2 linked regions of the Daphnia pulex genome follow. The protein of the gene in region 1 purifies or fractionates together with the protein of each later gene. This does not show direct contact. Links are inferred from orthologs where the notes say so. Each region holds a gene or a part of one and is shown in the gene's direction. Other genes may lie near its edges.

The links.
Region 2: the proteins of evolutionarily conserved signaling intermediate in Toll pathway, mitochondrial-like (region 1) and RPII140-upstream gene protein-like purify together in Homo sapiens (affinity purification with mass spectrometry; 3 studies listed by BioGRID and IntAct, counting the BioPlex papers as one, with this or other methods). This does not show direct contact. The link is inferred for Daphnia pulex from reciprocal best matches to the Homo sapiens genes ECSIT and TIMMDC1.

The regions. Positions count from the first base shown.
Region 1 is NC_060018.1:6,887,371-6,891,319, reverse strand, and holds evolutionarily conserved signaling intermediate in Toll pathway, mitochondrial-like, read left to right. Parts: upstream 1-1,678; 5' UTR 1,679-1,831; coding exon 1,832-2,282; intron 2,283-2,344; coding exon 2,345-2,797; intron 2,798-2,872; coding exon 2,873-2,966; intron 2,967-3,037; coding exon 3,038-3,168; intron 3,169-3,238; coding exon 3,239-3,315; 3' UTR 3,316-3,356; downstream 3,357-3,949. Other genes in the region: COP9 signalosome complex subunit 3-like, read right to left, coding at 2-313, 383-577, 644-861, 922-1,194, 1,273-1,327; probable flavin-containing monoamine oxidase A, read right to left, coding at 3,409-3,843, 3,918-3,949.
Region 2 is NC_060022.1:3,771,488-3,775,525, forward strand, and holds RPII140-upstream gene protein-like, read left to right. Parts: upstream 1-1,541; 5' UTR 1,542-1,639; coding exon 1,640-1,818; intron 1,819-1,880; coding exon 1,881-2,046; intron 2,047-2,111; coding exon 2,112-2,200; intron 2,201-2,263; coding exon 2,264-2,340; intron 2,341-2,404; coding exon 2,405-2,576; intron 2,577-2,644; coding exon 2,645-2,822; 3' UTR 2,823-2,825; intron 2,826-2,918; exon of another isoform or gene 2,919-3,112; 3' UTR 3,113-3,117; coding exon of another isoform or gene 3,118-3,270; 3' UTR 3,271-3,327; downstream 3,328-4,038. Other genes in the region: twinfilin-like, read right to left, coding at 3,118-3,270, 3,342-3,463, 3,534-3,677, 3,738-3,975.

The DNA.
Region 1 (3,949 bases):
CCATGGTCAAGACGAGTTTTTCCGCTTCCATCACGCTGGGCAACTGAACTCGCAGGGCCATATCGCTGAGCGAAAGCGTCAGAAAAGTCTGAGTCAGTCGCTGAATAATCTTCTTGTAGAGCGATTGTTGTACTTGTTTGGCCAGACCCCAGTTATTTTCACGCTGTAACAATTCTCGGTGCTTTTGGAGGACAAGTTCCAGTGACGTCGGCTTGTTGGTAGCAAATACCGTCGTGATTTCGTGGTAGATGGCGCTCATGGGTTTCAGGAGCCGATTAACCACTTGAGATGTGTATTTGGGAAGAGGTGCCACCTAGTCTCGTTTCAAATGACAATGTGAATCGGAAATTGAACGAACATTGCGCGACTATTTGATCCATACCTTTCCATGAAGAATGAGTGAGACGAGAATGTACTTTTTGTACGATTCCAGCATGATGTGAGATACGGCTGAAGATGGTGTCGTCAAAGCTACTTCGAATGAATACAGGGCTCGCTCAAAGTTTTTGACAGCCATGTTGATAACTCCCCCATAGTAGTAGTAGAGCAAGAAATGCTTGGCATCAAAATATCCATTCTACAAACACATTTGTCATTAGAATTTTCTGTAATCAGTGCACTAGAACCTGAAAAAGCAATTTACCTCTGAATTGATTTCAGAAATCTCAACATTCAAAAACTCCAAGGCAGGTTTTAAATTCTGTGCCATCAAACAGAGTTGGAGAAGGCTAGCGTGGATAGACGTCAGCTGTGTTTCATTCATTCTGGCTTTCCGAATAGCTTTGGTAAGGGGAACAATACCCCTGGCAGGTGTCTCTCGTTCCACTAGGCATTGGGTAAACTGGTTACACAGCTCAGCGACTGCACAGAACAATTTATTATGAATTATTCAATTGTAAGAGTGCAATATTAGAAGCTTACATGAGTCAGGAGCACAGCGAATTTGTTCACCATTGCAAACTGTGATGAACTGACTGACTTGACTGATGAGCACTTCGGGTTCTGGAACTTGAATTCCTTGATTTTGAGCTGCATTTTGGTTGAGAATCATGAACTTTACCATGTAAATTGCCAAAACACCTAGACTGTGAAGTTGTGGGTCAAGAGTATCCAGAACAGTGTCTAAATGTTCGGAATTCCTCATGAGTACGTCGGGCGACTTGCCGAGAAAATCATATAGTTCTCGCCAGCTTCCTATCAGTTTGATACATAGAAAATTGAATATTTTTAGTGTCCACAAATTATGAAATACAACTGTCGTTCAAAACAAACCTTCGCCAGAGAGATTACGAACAGAATTTACAAAATGTTCTAGGGATGACGCCATATTCAAATTTGAAGAATATTAGATTGAAAGATATTGAATTGAAGAGAGAAATATTTGGATGAGCCAGCAAACGTCGTCTGCAGTTGTCTTTATTCGTTGATAAACGCGCCAATAGAGGGTATATTCGTAGATGCAAGTAGCACCACTGGCGGGTGGCGGCAGGATCACACAAACACTTTTACTGAATAATTTAAAAACAAAATGAACATAATTATAAGCGAAATAACCGCGATTTAATTTTATTCTAATTTGATGATGAATAATCGAAAGTAATCAAGTTTTTAATCAAATAAGAAACTTTTTTTATGAATCCCTGCCATCTATCATCAATGAAGTTGAAATTTTAGCAGACGTTAAAAGTTGAAAGAGGAAAAAAACAATAACAAATCCCATTTTCGCCTACTCTTGAATTTGTTGTGACAATTCTATGTATTTCTGGTATTTTTACAAATAGTTCGAATTTTGTTGATTATTTTCCTGCTTTGAATAGCCATTAGTATTATAATGGCAGTAAAATTTGGTTTAAGTTTGAATCGAATTCTCCAAAGAGCCTTACCTCAAGTTCATAATTGCAAGCTACTGCCATGCTTACAGATCCGTCACATTCATATAAATAGTCTTCATTTTAAAAATAAAGAACCCAACGAACTGATTGTTAGACCTTCTATGTTTTATGTTCCAGAAGGAGATAGAAATAAAGACACATTCTTAGAAGCTGTAAAAATTTACACAACAAGACCAGGGCCCCGTAGGGCACAAGTGGAATTCATCTATGCTGCTCTGAAGGAAATGGAAGAATTTGGTGTGCATCGTGACCTGGAAGCATATAAAGACATCATTGATATATTACCAAAGGGAAAATATATTCCAACAAATATGTTTCAAGCAGAATTTATGCATTATCCAAAACAACAGCAATGTATAATAGATGTTCTGGAACAGATGGAAAACAATGGTTAGAATATCTTTGCCTCAAATCAGTTTAAATTATTTTATGTGTTTTTATTTCATTTTTAGGTGTTTGTCCAGATAAAGAAACTGACCAAATGGTTCTTAATATTTTTGGTCGCCATGGAGCTCCCACCAAAAAACTTAGAAGGATGGCTTATTGGATGCCTAAGTTTAAAAACCAATCTCCATGGGCACTCCCCCAAAAGATTCCTAACTCAAATCTTGAAATAGCAAAACTTGCTGTCCAGAGAATGGGTAGTGTTGATCCAGCTACAGAGATGAACATTTTTCAGACTAGTGAGTTGCAAGACGCCATTGACGATACTTGGATCGTCAATGGTCAAAGCGCCAATCAAAGAGACCTTTTAGCCAAACTCAAAGAAAAGCAAACCGTCTACGTTGAAGGCGCTTTCACAATTTGGTTAAGAAGAACCAGTATAAATTACTTTATTTTGCGTTCTGAACCTGTTCCGTTAACGGAAGAAGAGCAGAAACAGCAGAATGAATATGATTATGATGGTATGTGTACTGAAACAGTTTAGTTTCAATTTTCTTCATTCTAGTTTTCTAATTTTATTCTTCGATTTGTTCAAGATGTAAGTGAACTGCGTTCGTGGATGTTTGGGGAAGAAAATCTTACTCGGAAAGATATCGTTGTTCAACCTTCAGTTCATGAACAAGAAGATGGGTAAACAAATATTAATCTTCATCAAATGTGTTGATTATGAGATAAATACTTTTTTTTTAAATTTTTTCAAGGACAATCCTTGCTATAGCTATCACTGGGACATGCTCAAAAGATTCCCTTCTTTCTTGGATCCGATTTTTAGAGAAAACAAATCCAAACCTAGCTAATTTGAGTATCCTGTTTGCTACTAACTCCCCCTTAGGTATGGTACCACTTATTTTATATTCAGCTTTATTTTTTACAACATGACAAATTTTTCTCTTTTTTAATAGGTGAAGTTGCACCAGCTATCGAAAGTAATATGCCATCTCAACCACTAAATAAAATCACAGGAGGTTCTGATTTGTAAATAAATGTATATGATCAGTAAAATAATAGTTTTGAATAACACATTTCCATCTAATTCACTTTTCCTGCAAATTTTGGAAAGAAAAACTAGAAATTATAGGAAATAAACAGCGATGAAAGCTGTAGCGATGGCAAATACAACAATCACAGGAGTCAATAAATTGGGTAAAGAATATGGTGGACTTTGGTCTGCATATGGTTTTCGAAAGGCTAGCTTCTCCAATTCGATGACGTTCTTACCTCTAAGTTTCATCACTTCGGAAGCTGCACGTCTTCCAGACTGCACCGCTCCACTTAAATATCCAGCCCAGTGTGTAGATGTTTCAGTCCCGCACCAGTGAATTCGACCATGCGGACGACGGAGAATACCGAATGTGAACATGATTCCAGGAACGCCGAAAGAGACTGGACAACCTCCGTTGTATTCTTCATCGGCCCATATTTTCTCAGTGAAGCTCGTCGGTTGCAACGCCCATGGTCCAAAACAATCGGAAAGACTATTCAGAACTGCCGAACGACGTTCCGCTGCCTAAATTCACATTTTAATTGTAGAACACGTTGTGTTATTTCGAAAAAGATGTACAAATTGAACATTGGTCATACCGTTTGACGGTGCCATTCAACTCCTGGCCTTC
Region 2 (4,038 bases), on another chromosome or scaffold:
ATCTATAACAATGTAAATCTTGACCTTTGTCTCTGACTTTTTCGAAATATTTTAAACTGAACGAAAACACTAAGCAGACGACACTTTCTAAGCAACTACCCAGGGCTGCCACTTTTTGAGAAGGGGAAAAAAATTAATTAAATAAACCCTAAATACCCTAATCCTAAGAGACAATGAGAAGAAAAACTAAGGGTCTGTAACTCTTTTATCTCTTTGGTCTGTACTAAAAAAAAAAAAAAAAAGGCTAGATACGTAGATTTCTTCGTTGATCCTCATCGTTCCCAGGTAAATCGATACTCGATAGTCATGTCTTTTTTCTCTGGAAGTGTTCCCGACCTTGACACTTCGTGAGAGGCGCCACAGTGGGTGTGTGGGATATGGGAAATAGGCGGGTGAAAAATTTCTTGGTATTTGTATATGGTGAATGCGACGAAGTCCCTATCGGAAAACTAGAAGAGAAGAAGACATACATTAAAAAATTAGGTTTATGAAATGATATATACATGGAGTGAGATGAAAAGTATGTGCATGAAGTCATATGTTATGTTAAAAATGTAAAAATGTATTATTTTTCAAGAAGAAAAATGGACATTTTTGCCATTATAGCATCAACTGTAGAAAAATTGGTCTTGGGATCTAACATATTCTGCAAGTTGGTCACAGATTGGGACGAATAATTAAAAATCTCCAACAAATGCTTTGCATTGATCAGTCTATAACCACAAAACAAGAAAATAATAGTAAGTTGAATGCAGCAAAATTCAATCGTTACTCAAGATAGTTTGTACCTGTTGGCATAGCACATGTTGATCTCATCCATCCACTCTATCATCAAACTGACTGGAGGATAAAGAGAAGTTCCTTCATAGAATGTTGTGTCAGCTTGAATTTTATCAAAGTCTTCCACATAAAGTTTATATGTAACTTCACAAATATTTTTTATTCGTTGATTTTCCTGGTTGAGCTCTTCTCTAATGCATCAGAAATTGTTAATTTGAATCACAATAAAAACGTTGCAATTTTTCTTACAGCAAAAGTACCATAGTAATCATCTCTTCTTCCATTAAGGCCCTGATGATTTGTTCCAGTCTGCCGTTTAAATCGGGAAATTTTCTCGAAAGCTCGCATGGTTCCGTTTTCAGTACACACTCTAGCTGATCACTTAATCCTGACATGACCTTAAGTGACGATTCAAACCCTTGTAGAATTTCGTTCCATTTAAGTCTATGTATTTCAATTGAAGAGTAAGTCTTCAACAAACTAGTTCTGAGGACATCCATGTTCAGTTTATGAAAAAAATAACTTTTTTATTAAAATGCTTTCTGCGATGACATTTGGATATGGTGTTTTGAAAACATTCAGGTCTTCTGCTGAAATGTTGAAGGGGTTGCCAATGATTTAGCTGTAAAAAATGTTATTTATAGTTTGTTATTGTTCCATAATTTTGTGTGAAGATCGCTACGAAATTTTTTATTTGGCTGACTTTTCCGAAATATAAAATGTTTATTTTTTATAATCAGATAATCGTGCGCTCTGCATTGCACCGGTGGAATCAGATGGAATCACGAATCAAAACACCATGATAAGTTGATAACCGTCTGCTAGAAAAGCATTTGTTAAACACAAATTATTTTAAAAAATGTGGAGAAGAAAAATACCGATTCGGCTAGGACTTAGCATTTTTGGTGTGGAAATATTGTCAAATAATGACATTATTGATCCCACATCCCTATCTGCGCAAAAGCTAGCGGAAGAAGCACGAAGAACAGCTGAAAATGAGACCGGTTGGGATCGGCTGAAGGCCATATTTAAAACCGAGTATTTCCATTTAATATGTTTTCGTCGTTTTCACTAATTACTTAATCTTTTTCATTGGATAGTGAATTCAATTCCGTTAGTCCTGAACTTGACAGTACTTTTGCTGCAGCAGCTGGAGGTTTATTAGCAGGAATGATTATTGGTGGAATTCCTGCATCAAAGTTAGCACATGAGGATTTCATAACAAGAAATAAAGCATCCACATTTGAGAATCATATAGAAGCCAAGGTAAGTGGGCCTTCAAGGTTAAATAAATCAAAGTACTAAAATAATAAAAATCCCATCCATTGCAGAGCAAGCTGCAGTTCAATGTTACTAGAGCAATGGCTGTAGGAGGCTGGAGAGTAGGATGGAGGCTTGCTCTTTTTACAGGAGGTTTCACGTTAGTACTTTATACATTTTTTTTTACAATCAGGAGTTGAAGTTACATTTATCCAATCAATAGGTTTTTTACCACAGCTGTTTCAACATACCGGAATAAGTCGAGCATATTTGAATTTTCAGCCGGCGGGCTATTGGCAGGTAGGACCTAATTAGATTGCGATATTGTTTAGTTATATCTTAATCTAATAAAAGATATTTACAGGTTCCATGTACAAATTCACAATGGGTCCAAAAGCGATGGTGGCAGGTGGTCTTGCAGGAGGAGTTTTGGGCACTGTAGCTGGTGCCGTTACAGTTGGATTACTGAAGTTGACTGGCACAACAACTGAAGAATTGCGTTATTGGAGAAAAGGGTGGAAAGAGTCCCAAAATAGGTACTAAACTGTTAATCATTAAACATTCTCAAGATTATTTTTAAAGGGGAAAAACATGATTTTTACAGAGAAGTTACAGTCGGAAATCCTAAACGAAAGGAAACCTTGGGAACAATGGGAATTATGCACGATTTGAGTGTGGCGATGAAAGCACACTTGAATGAATCCAACGAAAGCGACGAAGAAAACGAGAAGACTCCAAATACAGTGAGCGAACAGAAAGCATTGCAATCGGAAACCAGCTGAATGGTAATTCTAAAAGTGGATCTTTATATATAAATAAATTAGTCGTTGATAAATGCCGTTATTTTTCACTTATAATCGATTTGAATTAAAATTTCGTATGGTTTTATTCATTTATTTTTTTCACACATCAAATTTCACAAACAGCTTGTATGATCTTAAATACCACTGGATAGGAAACGAATCTATAAACTAGGCACTTGCGTATAACCGATGCCCATTGCTTTCACACTTTATCTTCAAAAGAAAATTTTAAAATATTGGGTATTTTGTTTTATAATCATACCAATCAGATACGTTATTCTTGCGGCTTTTGGCTCGTCAGGCGACGCGCACCTCTACCAGGAGGACCTTTGGGTTTCTCAAATTTTGGTTGATGAAGATTTTTCTTCGGATGCAACTCATCCATCACGAATTCTTCAGTTAACTCATCTCCTTTTTCAACTTCGATCTGGAGTTTTATAGATTATTCAAACTCAGTCAATAAAGTAAAGCAATGAATGAAAAAGTGCACTGATTTACTTTTTTGTCGATTGTGATGAGAAGTTTGTTTTCAATCAAATCTGTGATAGGTCCTTTACAACTAGAGTAGAGCATCCGCTCACGAATCGAGCATGCGTAGCCAGGCATAGAATAGATAAAAACTGGTGAAAATAAAGTAAAGATATGGCATTTCAATTGAAAATTAATATCTTTGTAAAACAATATTCTAACCTATGCTCTCAAGGAAATCGCCTTCGTGTGAGTGCGGAAAACGGAAGAGGTGATACCGGCCATGATCATCTGGTACTCGACTGCCCAAGGTGTGGACGTTAATCTGGTCCGTGCTTTCAAGATTGACAACTTCTTTCGCCATATCTTAAAAAAATAAAATTAAGTAAATATTGCACAACACACTTATGCGCGATGTTTACTGACCAATGCTCAGCTGGATGTAAGAATGGTTTTTGTGCTTAAAATCAATCATTGCTTTTAGTCCAGCCTCTGAGATAGGGAAGGCTACGCCACTGAGTGTCTGATGCTTTGAGTCGTAACCAATGTGCGCGTTGGTTTCAGTCCGCTTAACCAAAGCCAACTCTTCCTCAGCCTGAGTCAAAGGAGCAGGAGCCGCCGCATTTTTCTTTTGCTTGAGATAGCCCTTAAGTGTCAAATCCTCCTATGAAGAAAACACGTTTTTTTTTTTTTACATTATTTTTGAATACTAAATATTCACGTAATG